4 linked regions of the Yarrowia lipolytica genome follow. The protein of the gene in region 1 purifies or fractionates together with the protein of each later gene. This does not show direct contact. Links are inferred from orthologs where the notes say so. Each region holds a gene or a part of one and is shown on either strand. Other genes may lie near its edges.

What was found.
Region 2: the proteins of YALI1_C30287g (region 1) and YALI1_B18707g purify together in Saccharomyces cerevisiae (affinity purification with western blotting; 8 studies listed by BioGRID, with this or other methods). This does not show direct contact. The link is inferred for Yarrowia lipolytica from reciprocal best matches to the Saccharomyces cerevisiae genes LSG1 and RPP0.
Region 3: the proteins of YALI1_C30287g (region 1) and YALI1_C07137g purify together in Saccharomyces cerevisiae (affinity purification with mass spectrometry; 9 studies listed by BioGRID, with this or other methods). This does not show direct contact. The link is inferred for Yarrowia lipolytica from reciprocal best matches to the Saccharomyces cerevisiae genes LSG1 and ARX1.
Region 4: the proteins of YALI1_C30287g (region 1) and YALI1_A21919g purify together in Saccharomyces cerevisiae (affinity purification with mass spectrometry; 3 studies listed by BioGRID). This does not show direct contact. The link is inferred for Yarrowia lipolytica from reciprocal best matches to the Saccharomyces cerevisiae genes LSG1 and YRA1.

Annotation. Positions count from the first base shown.
Region 1 is NC_090772.1:3,026,075-3,030,557, reverse strand, and holds YALI1_C30287g (uncharacterized protein), read left to right. Parts: upstream 1-1,800; coding exon 1,801-3,927; downstream 3,928-4,483. Other genes in the region: YALI1_C30310g (uncharacterized protein), read left to right, coding at 1-663; YALI1_C30255g (uncharacterized protein), read right to left, coding at 4,277-4,483. UniProt on the Saccharomyces cerevisiae protein: GTPase required for the nuclear export of the 60S ribosomal subunit. Acts by mediating the release of NMD3 from the 60S ribosomal subunit after export into the cytoplasm.
Region 2 is NC_090771.1:1,869,288-1,872,729, reverse strand, and holds YALI1_B18707g (60S ribosomal protein uL10), read left to right. Parts: upstream 1-1,996; coding exon 1,997-2,941; downstream 2,942-3,442. Other genes in the region: YALI1_B18727g (uncharacterized protein), read left to right, coding at 1-1,217. UniProt on the Saccharomyces cerevisiae protein: Component of the ribosome, a large ribonucleoprotein complex responsible for the synthesis of proteins in the cell.
Region 3 is NC_090772.1:711,901-715,734, reverse strand, and holds YALI1_C07137g (uncharacterized protein), read right to left. Parts: upstream 1,969-3,834; coding exon 514-1,968; downstream 1-513. Other genes in the region: YALI1_C07152g (uncharacterized protein), read right to left, coding at 363-460. UniProt on the Saccharomyces cerevisiae protein: Probable metalloprotease involved in proper assembly of pre-ribosomal particles during the biogenesis of the 60S ribosomal subunit. Accompanies the pre-60S particles to the cytoplasm.
Region 4 is NC_090770.1:2,190,253-2,194,164, forward strand, and holds YALI1_A21919g (uncharacterized protein), read left to right. Parts: upstream 1-1,637; coding exon 1,638-1,916; intron 1,917-2,766; coding exon 2,767-2,937; intron 2,938-3,150; coding exon 3,151-3,372; downstream 3,373-3,912. Other genes in the region: YALI1_A21913g (uncharacterized protein), read right to left, coding at 1-1,056. UniProt on the Saccharomyces cerevisiae protein: RNA-binding RNA annealing protein. May have a role in pre-mRNA metabolism. Component the TREX complex, which operates in coupling transcription elongation to mRNA export.

The sequences.
Region 1 (4,483 bases):
ACAGCGGTTTTCAGCAACAATGATGGAGAATTGATCATAAATATGAAAGATCTGAGCGCCTCGGAGACTCCTCTTCCCGCTTTCGGATGTCATTTGCCCGGAAAGATGTCCTTCAAGTTACAGGTTGTGGGAAAGACAGCTATTGTGGCTTTTGTAGGGGGCGAAGCGCGATATTCGAGTATCGTGAGCCCTAAAAAAGCCACGGTCCAAGCTGAGAGAGGTTGTTTATTGTTGAGAGCTCCAGCCGGGCTCTTGTTTTACGATGGACATGTGTTTGATGTGATCATCGACAGTCATTGGAGACCAATTGTGCAAAGCTCAAAGTCCACAGAAGTGCTTCCAAAGGAGTGGGATCTAAGTAGGCATCATAGGGTGGAACAAGACAGTAGGTATCGCCACTATGCCTTGATTTATAATCACAACGGTTTGGTTACTGCCCTCGTCGACTTGAAGACTCACAGACTGAAACAGTTGACCGACGTCTCGGACATTGCGCGGGAACACACTTCCCCGATAGATGTTTATCTCACGGTTGTGGGCTTATCCAACGGTTCTGTTGCTGTGTGGAGGTATACAAAGCAGTACTTGGAGAACAAGTATCGACAGCAGCATGGAGTTGATATGATACCTGAAGAGGCGAACAGTTTGATTCAAGGAATATAGAAAAATTGTCACCAGTTGTCGTAGTAGATGTCCACAATGGTTTTTTAGTATATGTACATACAGTATGTACTGTAGTCTGTATATACTGAAGTACACTACACAGTGAGTTCCTTCACCCTAGTTATACAGAGCGAAGTATGACACTTACTTTTAACAAGTCAAGCTTCGGCTGAAAAATTATGTTATTATAAAATAAAATAAAATAAAAAATAGGTGAGTGGTGCAAGCCATTAGAGAAAGTTGTTGACTAAGATCGCAAATGTATGCTTCCACTAGTACTAGTACAAGTACATTGTAATTGTAAAAGCACAGGCTCCTGGCTTTCCTTCTCTGTCAAAAGATCATGAGACTGTTCATCTTTTCCTCTTCTGAATACTCATCATGATCAGCCTGTTTTTAAGGACCCACTAGGGGTGGGAGATCACCGACCTTGTGATATGCCACTTTTGCAAACCAAATGAAGCATGTGAATGACACGAGTTCCTCTCATTAAATGTCGATTTCATCCCATCTCTTACTTGTTCATACAGGTACTTTTACTTGGTCGTCTTGTACTGTACTTGGTGTACTTGTGCATACTGTACTTGGTGTACTTGTGCATACTGTACTTGGCCCTGCCTGAATCTGCCTACAAGCACTAAGGCACCATCGTCTAACGACCAAGAGTTGGACAAAGAAGCATTATTAATCAAAATCCCAAACAACCAAAATATTACAAACCACGCAAATATCCCGCTCCACCAATTTCACGCAACCACCACGTTTACTCGCAATTCTACTCCCCAACCGCCAGTCTTCCAACCGGTTCTATGTTGCCACAGTAACAAATAAAGTTCACTGATATGATCTAAACCAAGTGAGAAACACTGGCTTCAATGAGTCATTCATACACTATAGAACCTTCAAAATACCTCCCTCGGACTCATATTTCACTGTATTATCGATTCCCGCTTTCTCTCAACGAATTGCTCCCAAACCCCCCTTTTTTCCTGTTGCTCAGTTGTATCGTGTCACACTTGCACATCACGTGACCGTGCAGGTTGAAACTCAACCTTAAAAATTATTTCTGCATCATATCTAAGGTGCTGGGGTCCTACGACCTCATCCCCCACTACACGAAATTTATATTATCTGAACATGAACAAAACACCGTTGCATTCCGATGTGGTCAAGCCCAAGGGTCCCCCCTCGGGACCCAAGCCGCAGTACCACAAAAAGAAGACCCCCAACAACACGGGACTCGGAAAGACTCTGATGAACCGAAAGGCCAAGGAAGGACGAGTCTACGTGACCGATTCTGGAGAGACCCGATACACAACCGAGGAGAACAAGGAGGCCGGGTGGGTCAAGCTGCGATCCGTCACCCAAGAGAAGGCTCTGGACGAGTTTCTGGCCACCGCCGAGCTGGCTGACACTGATTTCACCGCTGAGCGACGAGCCCACACCACCATTATCAACACCCATGACAACTCCAACCCTTACCTTTTGACCAAGGCTGAGGCCGAGAAGCTGCGTGAGAAGCAGCTGGAGAACGCCGGCAAGCTGACTGTTCCCCGACGACCTGTTTGGACTGAAGATACCACCTCCACCCAGCTCGATCGAGAGGAGAAGGAGGCGTTTCTGCGATGGCGACGAAGTCTGGCGGAGCTGCAGGAGAACCAGGATCTGCTTCTGACGCCATTCGAGCGAAACATTGAGGTGTGGCGCCAGCTGTGGCGAGTGTGCGAGCGATCCGATCTGGTTGTGCAGATTGTCGATGGGCGAAACCCTCTGCAGTTCCGATCCGAGGATCTGGAGTTGTATGTCAAGGAGATTGACCCCCGTAAGCGAAACCTGCTGCTGGTTAACAAGGCTGACCTGATGACCGAGGAGCAGCGACAGATCTGGGCCGACTATTTCAAGAAACACGGAATTCGATACGCCTTCTTCTCTGCTGCCAAGGCCAAGGAGGAGCTGGAGGCTCTGGAGGCCCGAGAAGAGGCTCAGGCTACCAAGAAGCCCGCCAAGAAGCCCGTCAAGAATGACGATTCCGACGACGAGGTGTCGGCTCTCGAGCGAGAACTTGCACAGTTTGTCCCTAAGGAGGAGTCTGAGGATGAGGATGAGGAGGAAGACGAAGAAGACGAGGAAGACGACGTTGAGCCTTCTGTCACCGAGATCCAGGAGGCCGTTCCTGCTAACGCCCATGAGGAGGCCAAGGCTACCGACGAGTCCAAGCCTGACACAGAGAACATGCACTATTCCGTCATGGCCACCCCCACATCTATCCTGTCTGTGGACCAGCTCGAGCAGCTGTTCCTCGCCGAGGCTCCTGCTCCCATGCAGCCCGCTCCCGCTGGCCAGGAACCCCGCCTGAACATTGGTCTGGTCGGTTACCCTAACGTTGGTAAGTCTTCTACCATCAACGCCCTGGTGGGCTCCAACAAGGTGTCTGTTTCTGCCACCCCTGGAAAGACCAAGCACTTCCAAACTATCCTGCTGTCACCCAAGGTGATGCTGTGTGATTGTCCCGGTCTGGTGTTCCCCAACTTCGGTAACACCAACGGAGAACTGGTGTGTAACGGTGTGCTTCCCATCGACCAGCTGCGTGAGTTCACCGGTCCCGCGACCCTCGTGTCTCGACGAGTGCCCAAGTACTTCCTCGAGTCCGTCTACGGTATCAAGATCTACACTCGTCCGGTCGATGAGGGCGGTCTCGGATATCCCACAGCCACAGAATTCCTTGTGGCCTACGCCAAGGCACGAGGATACATGCGTGGAGCCTCTCAGGGTAATCCCGACGAGTCGCGAGCTGCTCGATACGTGCTCAAGGACTACGTTAACGGAAAGCTGCTCTACTGTCATCCTCCTCCCGACTACAGAGAGGATCTGGATGACGAAGATGCCGGTATTCTCTTCAACAAGGGTCTGTACACCCTCAACCAGCTGCCTCCCTCGCGTCAGAAGCAGCTGCTTGATGCTGCTGTTCACTCTGGCATTGCTCGAGAGGATTTTGACCTTGAGCGAGACATTGACAAACTGTCTTTCTCCCAGCATGCCACTGGAGCCGGTGGTTTCGGTGGTAAAGGATTTTCTTCTCTCGGCGAGCATCTGGACGCTGACTACTTTGGAAAGAACTCATCAGGAGGCAACATGAGCACCCCCTTCCACCAGCGAGGTGCTGCTCAGGGCACCAAGAAGCATTTCAAGGGCAAGAAGGTCAAGGCCCGAAACGCCCGGTCCACCAACGACAACTACGGCGGAACCTACGGCGATATTATTTAAGCGGATGACGGCACGACTAGGGAAATGACTTGGGAAGACGATGCATTATAGATAATTATGATACGATAGTGATATGACAGTAATACAGGTGGGTTGCATTACATTTTTGGATATTGTATTACATTCGATGATAAGATGTGTGACTTCATCAGCAGCTTCAAACACGTAGTGTATAGAACATCTATAGACATTCAATCGACAGATATGTATAAAGAGTCACACTCGATATCAAATGGTCTATTCAATCAATTGATCTATATACAACTTTACTTGTGCACCGCAAAATCAATTGTTTAAGCCCAGATCCTATCAGCAGGTTTGCTGGGCGGGGTGAGAGCGTTCGCTAAGTTCATGCAGTCTTGGCTTCCTCCTTGGTCATTCGTCCTCCGAAAATGGTCGATCCAATTCTCACATTGGTGGATCCCTGCTTGATGGCTTCCTCAAAGTCAGAAGACATGCCCATGGACAGCTCCAGACCTGTGATATCAAAAGCCTGCTCAATAGAGTCTCTGATCTGTACCAGCGTGGCAAAGTCCTTGTTCTCCTCCGAGGCCTT
Region 2 (3,442 bases), on another chromosome or scaffold:
CCTACAATACTCTACAGCAGCCTCCAGCCAACCGTGGAGTGTTTATCTGCATCGATACCGAAACCGCAGAACATCATGCTGGAGTGATCACGGAGATCGGAGTGGCCGTGATGCGGTTCCATCCGATTGGTCAGCCCGACAAGCCTTACGCAGCCCCTAAGATCTCGGCCCAGCACTTTGTTGTCAAGGAGAGATCGTCGGATCGATACCGAAACGGTAACTACGTCCCGGACCATAGAGACTTCTTTTGCTACGGTACGTCGCAAGTGGCGCCTCTAGCCGACATTCGAACAGTTTGGAAGGAACTTCTGACGGGCCTTACTGCCGGCTTTGACCAGGACCCGGTCTACTATGTGGGCCACTGCATCTCGGGGGACCTCAACGAGCTCAAGAAGATGGACTTCCACATTCCTGAGCTGCCCATCATCGACACTGAGAAGATCTGGCGTTGTATTAAAAAACAGGGCAAGGGCAACCTCACCTATCTTCTGGAGGCATTTTGCATTCCTCACGCCTTTCTCCACAATGCAGGTAATGATGCCTATCTCAACCTGATGGTGTTCCAGGCTCTGTGTGATCCCGTTGTTCGCCAGGAACACAGCGTGGGGACCAAGTTCAACTACGATCCACGAACCCCTCACAACAAGAGACGTCGAAAGAAGGCTATTGACTACCCCATCGAGTATGCCAATGACTACGACACTCTGGAAACCAACGTCAAGTATCTCGGCAAGCTGGACGGCTGCAACCGTTTTATCAAGATTGGTAACCTGGAAGAGGAGGAGGAGCTGATCCCCCGAATGTTGCCTGCTGTAGTAGTCAAAGCAGACTCCCTGGCAAAGGAGGCAGTCCTTGGCCCCAACTCGGACCGATACGAGCGACAGAAACTGTCTGAAGACGTTGAAATGACTGGCCAGACTGTTGGACCTATGGACATGCTTGTACAACCGGCTTTGCAGGGTCGAGGACGGTCCCCGAACAACCAGCAGTATCTACCTTCTCACAGCGGGTTTGACAGACCGACATACACCGCTCGCCGGTATGACCAAGACAACAACCAAGGTGCTCGAGCAGCCCACAACAGACAGGGAATGTACAACAACCGTGGACAGAACCACAAGAAGCGAAGACAACCAAGGGGCGACTTCCAGGGTGCTCGCAGCCGGGACTCTAGTCAAAAACGAGGATCTGGAGGTGCCTCTGGGACCCAGGAATGAGAACTCACGAAGCGAAGACGCACTGACGACTAAGCATCATTGAATATGATACCGTTATATAATAGTGATGTATGTTGTGCTGGCCACATCCTACATTCAGTTATGTGTACTCCGCGCTGACAACGTGGACTCACTGGGATACTGTGCGGGACTCTCGCCTTATGTGACTACTCTATACATACATACTGTACGGGGAGTGAGTGTCCCAGATCGTACATATATACAAGTACATACTACATAGTAGTTTGATGATGCTTAATGTGTGCAAATAGTGAAGAAACTTGAGACAAGCTCTCTAATCAACCGCTCACTACGTTAACTACGTTTATTTACGTGCTTTTTCATATCTTCGAAGTTTTGTATGTCTTAAAAAACGAAACTTCAGCTTGTTTGAAGCTGTACGTACGGATTAGTAAAATATGCGTGCCTACGTGGATGGTGGGGTGCGATGATCTCAACAAAAGTAGAAATTTTAGCCATTTGAGTAGAGGGGTGAATTTAAGACATGGGAAGGTAAGTAGAATACAAGTAACTATTCTCGCAGCATCAAAAATCGCTTTCGCTTACATAAAAAACCGACCTTATCCAGTTCTCCCACTCACGTGATATCAAGGTTAGGGGACACAGCCCAATTGGTGAAGTATATCACAGCACTGCGTAAGTTTGAGCATACCCACTCAGACTCCGCGTTGGGAGTTCATAACTCGCTGGTGAAATTTTTCTTCTCTTCTTCTCTTCAGCGGAATTTGTCTTTAAATATCCTATCAAACTAATTCGAAATGGGAGGCAGCACCAGCATCAAGAAGACCGAGTACTTCTCCAAACTGAAGCAGTTGCTTCAGGAGTACAAGTCCATTTTCGTCGTCGGCGTCGATAACGTCTCTTCTCAGCAGATGCATGAGATCCGAAAGACTCTCCGAGGCCGAGCAGTCGTTCTCATGGGTAAGAACACCATGGTCCGACGAGCTCTCCGAGAGTTCGAGGAGGAGCTCCCCGAGGCTGCTGAGCTTCTCATGCCCCTCTGCCGAGGCAACGTTGGTTTCGTTTTCACCAACGACGACCTCAAGGAGATCCGAGAGGTTCTCCTCGAGAACCGAGTTCTGGCCCCTGCCCGAGCCGGTGCCATTGCCCCTAAGGACGTCTGGATCCAGGCCGCCAACACTGGAATGCCTCCGGACAAGACTTCTTTCTTCCAGGCTCTCGGTGTCCCCACCAAGATTTCTCGAGGTACTATTGAGATTACCTCCGATGTCAAGATCCTCCAGCAGGATGTCAAGGTCGGTCCCTCCGAGGCTACCCTCCTTAACATGCTGAACATCTCTCCTTTCACCTACGGAATGACTGTTGTTCAGGTCTACGACAACGGCCAGGTTTTCGGTTCCGAGATTCTGGACATCACCGACGAGGAGCTCATCTCCAACGTCATTGGTGCCATCTCTACCATCACCGCCATCTCCCTTGCCGCCAACTACCCCACCCTCCCCGCCGTGTCTCACTGCATCATCAACAACTACAAGAACGTTCTTGCTCTGTCCATTGCTTCTGACTACACTTTCGAGGGCTCTGAGGCCATCAAGGACCGAATTGCCAACCCCGAGGCTTACGCCGCTGCTGCTCCTGCCGCCGCTGCCGCTTCCGGCTCTTCTGAGGCTGCCCCTGCTGCTGCCGCTGAGGAGGATGAGGAGTCTGAGGATGACGACATGGGATTCGGTCTTTTCGACTAAGCTCTTAGTTAGTTAAAAATCTACTACTTATCTGTAAACCCTGGGATTGTAGAATTGCGCTGTGTATTTATAATAACGTTGTGTCCTCCTACTATGACTAAGACCCGCATTGAGCTGAGTGGAGTGTGCTACCTGTAACGTTGTGTATGTACTGTACTTGTAATATGAATACGATCTTTAACACTACAGTAAAAGTATCAACATTTGAACTGTTGATTTATTATGTGCAGTACAAGTATGAACTTGTACGATCTATATGCTCTTTTATTTGAATAATATATTTATACTATACGACTATTATACGCCCAGTACAATATCTCTTTTTCAGTGTGAGCTTTGTCCCATTCCGTAGGATTTTTTTCCCACAGGTTTTTTTTATTATTTATTATTATTATTATTATTATTATTAATAATAACATAACAGTACTACTTGCAATTACTTGCCATGGTGTGATGAGTCCCTCTTCTCAAACCTACTTCTGACACAACATGGTATCAGAA
Region 3 (3,834 bases), about 2.3 Mb from region 1:
CGTCCAGTCCTGCGATAATGACCAAGCACATCTACAGGTACAGTAGGTAAACGAGCCATGAATGAGTGTATGTCCACTCCGGTGATAAAGGTCTTGATAGACTGTCTAGTGATTGAGACGGCGATACAGCCAGTGTTGTGAATCGCCGCAGCTGTTATTTGGATAGAACGGGTTGGCGGAGATATCTGATACACAGTGACCTGGTATAGCATCTAACTACTCAGTCATGCTTCGTATTGTTTCATGGAGGTTCAGCATCTCACAGAAATGGTGCCAGCTGGTCTTCGCTGGGCAGTACCTGTGCCACTACAAACACTACAGTGGTCGGTGTCCCTCCAGTCCCGAGAACCATATATCATAACAATCTATTAATGCTAACGTCCATCCAAAATATCCTAGGTGTTGCTCGTTGTGAGCTATTGCTTGCTTGCTTCATCGCATCAACATAGGCCAATTCCATGGCTTCTTTCTCCTTCTCCTTGTCTCCTCGGTCGGTTACTATCGGTTACTCGATTACTCCTCCATCTTGGCCTCCTTTGCAGGAGCCATGTCGACGTCGCCGGGAAGAACATCCTTGACCTTGGCTCCGTGCTTGTGGCCCACCAGCTTGAGTAGGTTGGTCACGTCCTCGGGCAGCTCAAAGGCAGAGTGCACATAAGGAGGAGGGAAGGCCTGGCCTCCAGTGAGTCGCAGACAGGCGTCATTGGTGAGCAGCACAGAAGACGAGTTTCGAGCAACGGGAACAGCCTTGGAAGCCTCGTCTCGGGCCCGGGCCTTGGAGTTCTTTGAAAACTCGTAGAGAGCAGCCAGAGGCACAAACTTGGCCACCTTGACGGGAATAGGCACCAGAATCTGATGGGCCAGAATCTCGCCCAAACCCAGACGGGCCTTGGCAACGTTGGACTCGACGTGGGACAGCTTGAAGGGGTAGACGGAGGTGGTAGCCTCCAGCTGACTGAGCAGCTTTCTGCTGGCCTGGATCTTGAGTCCATAGGTGACAGAGAAGTCTCGTCCGTACTGGTTGATCACAGTTCCAGACTCGTCGTAGCCCTGGAAGTCGTACAGACGGATAGCGCCCTTCTGGGGAGCTGCAGCCATCTGAATGTCGACCTGGTAGGCCTCTCCAGCCTCCACGGTGAAGTTCTCCTCCTCCTCAATGTGCTGTTCGTACAGACAGACGGCGCCCTCGGTGGACTCCTGTTTAGCCTCGGACTCGGCCAGCTTGACGGCGTGAAGAGCTCGCTCCTCCTCGCCCTCAACCTCCCAGAGAACGCCCTTGTAGTCTCGCTCCAGCACAATGTCGTGCTGACCAGCGAGGAAACGCCGGATACGTCGCACAGAAGATCCAGGCACAATCTTGACGTGGTAGGCAGCAGCAATCTTCTCGACGAGCTCTCGGATCTTGGTACCGGTGACAACTCCAACAGCCTTGCCGGGGTTGGGATCGGTCACCTGGGCCAGGTAGGCAATGACCGCCTCGGACGCCAGGTAGGAGGCACAGACCGCATCGGCAGGAGATCCGGTCAGAGGCTGCTCGGTCTCGCCAGCAGAGGTATTGGGCACGTGTCGCACAACCTCTGTTTGTGTCACCTGGGCAGTATATCCGTCAATGTAGACTCCCAGAGAGATTTTGACCAGATCGCCGGGCGCCAACATGCCTCCCTGGAACTTGTCGCCGTTCTCGGGACTCACTCCTCCCACAAACTCCTGCTTTTCGATTCGAACGGGTTGAGCAATGCCCTTCTCGGCCACAGACTTGTAGACGGCGGTGGTGGCTCGCTCGAGGAACTCGTCTCCCATACGGCACATTTCTCCCACCGTGTACGTCTCATATTGGGTCAGAACGGTCTGGATAATGTGCTGCAGACACGTCTGGGTGATTTTGCCGGCCAGACGGTACTTGTCGGTGACGGAGCTCGTCAGTGTGTTTTTTTCGTCCAGAAGCGCGGTAGATCGGGCCAGAGACATGATGTTTAGTTGTGGGTTAGATGTGAGGTCCAAAAAAAAAAAAAATTACACTGTTATGCAAGGTGGAAAAATATTTGAGGGTTAGGGCCTTAAAAGCTAAAACGACGTAATTTGGGCGGCCGGTGGTATGTTCCAGAGAAGAGATAAAGACATGAGATTTGGGCTGGAGGGTCAGGATGATGTAATAAATCTACAGTACTGTTTTTGAGCAGATTTAATTAGCTTAGGGGAAGATTGAAGCGGTGGTTTGATACGACAATTTGTTGAAGAACCTTATATTTAGTTGAGACTATAGATGTGATGTTTGTTGACCATTGGTGGCGATGTTGAGGGGTTGTCTTGTTTGAAGACTTGGAGAAATAGAGGGGATAGTGGTGGAAATAGAAAGCTGAGTTCTGGAGGAGTGGAATGATACCAATATTGGGTCTTCTTGGGTTTATTAAGGGGCATATGGTGAGTATATTGTGGGGAGCTGGTGTAGGGACTATGGTAAAGAATGTACTGGTGCGATAAAAGCTCCCATAAGTGATAATTGAACAAGAAAGCATTTTGAAGCTTCTTTGTGGGGAAGATTAAATAGTTTTTACTAATATACGACAAGATATTTATCCCGAGAAGCCATGTCAGGAACAAGTAGTGTTTAGTTGGTATTACTTAGATTTAGTTGATGACTTTCTTTTAGTTGAGCCATTAGTTGGATTGAAATTAACATGAGCAAGAGTTGCAGAAAAAAAAAAGAGGAGAGAAAAGAAGAGAGAGCAAATGAGCGGTGACGTCTGACCTGACTAAGCAGTATGTTCGTCTGACTAACCACCCACATGCTCCCTTCTCTCGAATATCGCCACACAACCAACCTCTCTATCTCATGTGACCACTATAGGCTCGCTATCAGCGGCTAATTTTAGTTTGAGTCAACGGGACGAGCTTACTAAGGGAATTAGGGGGGGATTTACAATGGCGATTAGTGGCAGTTTTGAATTTCTGAAAGGTGCATTCCATTCCTCTCGCTTAGTCGATCAAAATGGTATCATTAAAATCCCCATAGCTCCTCTCGGAGATCTAGTAACCACCCTCCCAGTCCAGCGCCACATGCACCTCGTGCATATCTCCAGTATCCCACTTGGCCATCTCCACACCACAACACACACCAAAAAAAGACACACAAGAATATACACACAGACATGTCGGCGATTTCAGGCATGGATTTGGGCGGTGCGTTCCGGCTCGCCAATATCGGCGTTGGCGCCTTGACCGTCGTTGGAGGACTGACTCAGTTGGGTCTTAGTTTGTGAGTACACGGTATGGGCGCGGGTAGGGGGCAAGTCGGAGCAGTGACTGGAGATTGAGGGCTTGAGCGACAACATTGTGTGGGATTGGCGATACAGCGGCGCTTGGGTGTCTTTTTGTGACGACAGTGGCTGTTAGGGGACCCTCAGATACAGGTACTCTGTCTACGTGATGATACGGCATCCACACACGTTGCGCATCACACTGTTGGCACTACATTTCAGAGGTGTTTTAGAAGCACTTGACTGAATGCTTCTAAAGGCTGCTGTTCACAATCCCTTAAATCATAGCTCAATCGGGCCAGCTGGACTTGCTACCTCTTCAATACTAACTCAGACAAGATGTGAGTACTGTACGGACAATGACAGCGATGGTTGCCACTGATACGATAGCCCAACATAATTGATATGCTGAAGACATCAGTGGAAATGGCAATCACGAGAGACTGTGTCGGAGCACCTATCGAGACTGTGCCGGAGCACTCAGCGATACCAGCAATATGATGAGCACCAACGGAACAACAATGAACCGGAACAAGACAACAGAAACGAGAAAACAGATACCACAGATGGGCTGCAG
Region 4 (3,912 bases), on another chromosome or scaffold:
AGCTGTCACATGCTCACTGGACAAATTAGCCTGTCTGACAGACTCTTCAATCTCAAACTTGCCCGGGTTGTTTGCGATAGCCGCGCCAACACCTAGAGATGTAGCCTTGAGCCGCTCGGGTCGTTCCACCAACGAGTCCTTGTATTTTTTTCCCATCCATGAACGACCAAAAGTGTGTTTGTACGATAGGGGAGATTGAACAATTAGCGTCTGGGCAGTTCCCGAGAAGCACCCAGGATATATCTTGTCAATTGCAATCTTGAATGACGTCACAGCGTCGTAATCATCTGAGGAGGTGGCCACAATCTTGTGAACAGGTGTCTCAGGGACAACTGCAGGGGTTTCTGTTTTCAAGGGAGTGGCTTCAGGGGTGGCCAACTTGAGCGGAGTTGCTTCAGGAGTATTTCTGTGACTGACATGAGGGGTCTGAAATTGTGTGGAAGGTATGGCTGGACTTGAGTGTCGTGAAGAATGGCCCGAATGAGGTGCTGAGGGAGGTACTGAAGACACAGTACCAGAGGCACCCATGTCGAACAGAGCTGGGTCGATAGCTGCTCCATCCTCCAGTCCAGGCTCCTGCTTGATATATCCGTTATATCGCTGTCCATGAGACATGTCTTCACCTCCTGGGGCGGATCGTGTATGCGGCGTGTAATAGGCGCTTGGTGTTTGGGGTGGCTCTTGTTTCACAACTTGGGGGGTATAAGGCTGCTGGGTGTGAGATTGTTGCTGAAAATTCTTGTCCCACGGTTTGGGGATTCGATGGTTTCCATTTGGCTGTTGACTGCCGTTTTCAGGTGTCTGTTGCCGCTCCTGATACTCCATCTTGGTTGTTGTTTTGGTGGAGTGCAGATGTAACGCGTCATGTGTGGACTTAATCTGAACCGTATATTTGAGACATGAGATAGGGTGTTTACTGAAACGGAGAGTGTTCATGTGACCAGAAAAGGGATTGAGGACACATTTGGACTTTGAAAACTTCATAGACAAATACTTCTTGACACCCTGACTGATGGCTTCTCCACATGTATGTATTGTACCTGTAGCCCACCTCATCTCCTACCAAGCTTGGCTAAACGAGAGCTTTAGTCTATAGACAATCAGCCTCAACGGCTGGACATCAGGTTTTGAGAGGTACAAATCACAGTTTGTTTTTTGCTAAAATTGTTCAAGAGTACCACGTGTAATCTCTCACTTGTTCCTGTCACAAAAATACCCCTAGTTACGTATCCCTCAATTCTGGTATTCGTATTTGTATTTCTCAAGTCATGTGTGAAGGAACTTAATTTAAGAAAGGGGCTGGTATACGGATATGCACTACGTTCGAGTGTGTACTTCTTTACCACACCGTCCAAGGGCAAGTACAGCACCACCATATATAAGGATGCAGCATATACAATACACACGTTTATTTTGATCACGCACCCATTTATCTATCATATATCACCCTCCCACCATGTTACAAATGGGGTATGTCACCAACGGTTTAGCGCGTTTTGAACCCTGGCCTTGGTGAGGAAACTCAATTGGGGTTACCCTGCCGAGAGCTGGGGTAATTTGCCAGCGCCACTTATCCCAACTCGCCGACGAAAATCGAACCTCGTACTTCCACACCACACAACACCACACACTCAACCATGTCCAACCTCGACCAGTCCCTCGACGAGATCATCTCCGCTGCCCCCAAGCGATCCAACCGAAAGAACCGACGAGGAGCAAGCGCTGCTGGAAACGGTGGAGTCCAGAAGGCCACCCCTGCCGCCCCCAAGGCTGGTACCCCCAAGAACAAGCAGCAGAAGCAGCAGCAGCAGAAGAAGGTCGCTGCTATTGTCAACCCCATTGACGAGGCCAAGAAGCTCGCCAGCAAGGTCATTATTTCCAACCTGCCCCAGGACATTGGCGAGGACGCCATTCGAGTATGTTAAACCGAAGATACACACACGCGACACTGCTAGAGTGATGCGTGGAGTGGACTCAGTTGCACCTGCAGCCTCAAGGCGCACACAGCAACATCAACGGAGCTGATACCGATTCGTGAACGCTTTCTTCGAAAGTCAGTAGCAAGGGAAGTTGCCATTTTTGTGATGGCAGCACCTCATTCAACAGTAGCCAGTATTTCTGCTCTGCAAAATTCTTGGTGAAGAGTAACCGAATTTCCTTCTTTTTAGGAATAAGGTGAAGAGTAGCCAGACGCTTCCCAGTGAAGAATGTGGTGAAGTGATACGCGGTTTCGGGAGCAGATCTGGATCGTCCTCGGACTGATTCCTGCGCTCACGGCCATGCTTATATGGCCAACCGACATTCCGAGAACTGAAACTGAACGGCCTTTTCAAAAACAGCTGCTAGAGAGCTGAGAGCGGTGGGTTTTGCTTGTTGTCATAATGGAGAGAAAGATCGAAAGCACTCATTGCTAATGTGACACGAGCCGGATTGAAAGCTGATGATCAAAGACCTGCGCATATTCCTTGCCTTGTCTTTGCAGCTGTGCGAGGGAAGAAAAATCCATGTCCAGTTTCAGAAGTCAGCCCCTGGAGGCTGGCAAACCTGTTGCAAATTGCTTGTCGCAGGTTGTCCCTATTACTGGGATTTCTCAGGAATGAAAGTCTGCACCAGCCTGGCTGGGTCAGAGTTAAAGCCGCCAGTAAGACATTGTATAATCCTTGTCAGATTCCTCTGACACTCATTTATGCTCTGCTTTGCTCCCCATTTTCGGATCAGTTCCGTTGTGATTCACGTGATTCCTTAAGAACTCGTGCTGACCATTAGGACTACTTCAAGACTGAGATCGGACCCATTTCCGCCTGCACCATGGTCTACAACAAGGGTGGACACCCTGCCGGAATCGTCAATGTCACCTTCAAGCGACAAGGTGATGCTGCCAAGGCCGCCGACAAGTTCAACGGTACTTCCATCGACCGTGGAAAGCGATACATGAAGGTGAGCAGCTAGACATAACAGAGGAGGATCAAGAGAATCAAGAGGAGGGAAATGCCGGCGACAGTGACGACAAATTACGACCATGACACCATCAAATTGACACTCTGCCTTATTTGGACAGGCAGATGTTACTCTGGAGGAGGAATACCATTGATTGCCGTCTACTGCGTGCCGATAATTGCTTGAGACGAAGCGATTTGGATACTAACACAGGTTGAGTTGGTTTACGACCCTTCCAAGACCCCTCTGTCTGCCCGACTCCAGCCCAAGCCCGAGCCTGCTCCCGCCAAGGCCACCGTCAACGCTGCCGCCAAGGCCAAGCAGCAGCAGCAGCAGCAGCAGAAGAAGAAGGCCACTAAGCCCAAGCCCAAGAAGGCCCCCAAGAAGACTGTGGAGCAGCTCGATGCCGAGATGGCTGACTACTTCCAGGATTAAATAGAATTTAATTGATGTATATTAGCTTTTTAATACTGGTCTTGAGTGTTCTGTGTTATGATAATTCCCCCTCAAGTGGATTCTATATCCTATGGTTGACCAATTGTACGTACTGTAGCTACTTGTACTGCATTGTAGTATTGTATGTGCTGTGTCACTCGTCTTTTGTACAATGTGTCATGGCGGCAGCCGTCAGAGAAGGATCTGCCGTAATATACAGAAGCAGTTAATCACGCCGAAACAGAGACTAAAAGTTCAGTACTGGCGAGGCGACCCCCTGTCATGGACTCCAAACCCTGTGCCTTGTTTCTGTATAGATAGCTACTGTACTTGTAGACGCTAATTATTTCCAATCATAAATTCGAAACATCGCCATTCGCTCGTAGTATGATAGACTAACGGCCCTACCCCCAAACGATAGACAAATACACGAGTCTATGAAAACACTGCCTAATTAGAACGCGAAAAGGGGCATGCACAAACCTACTGGTACAGTATTGTATCATACTAAAAGCCCCATGATTATTAGTGCTCTAACGT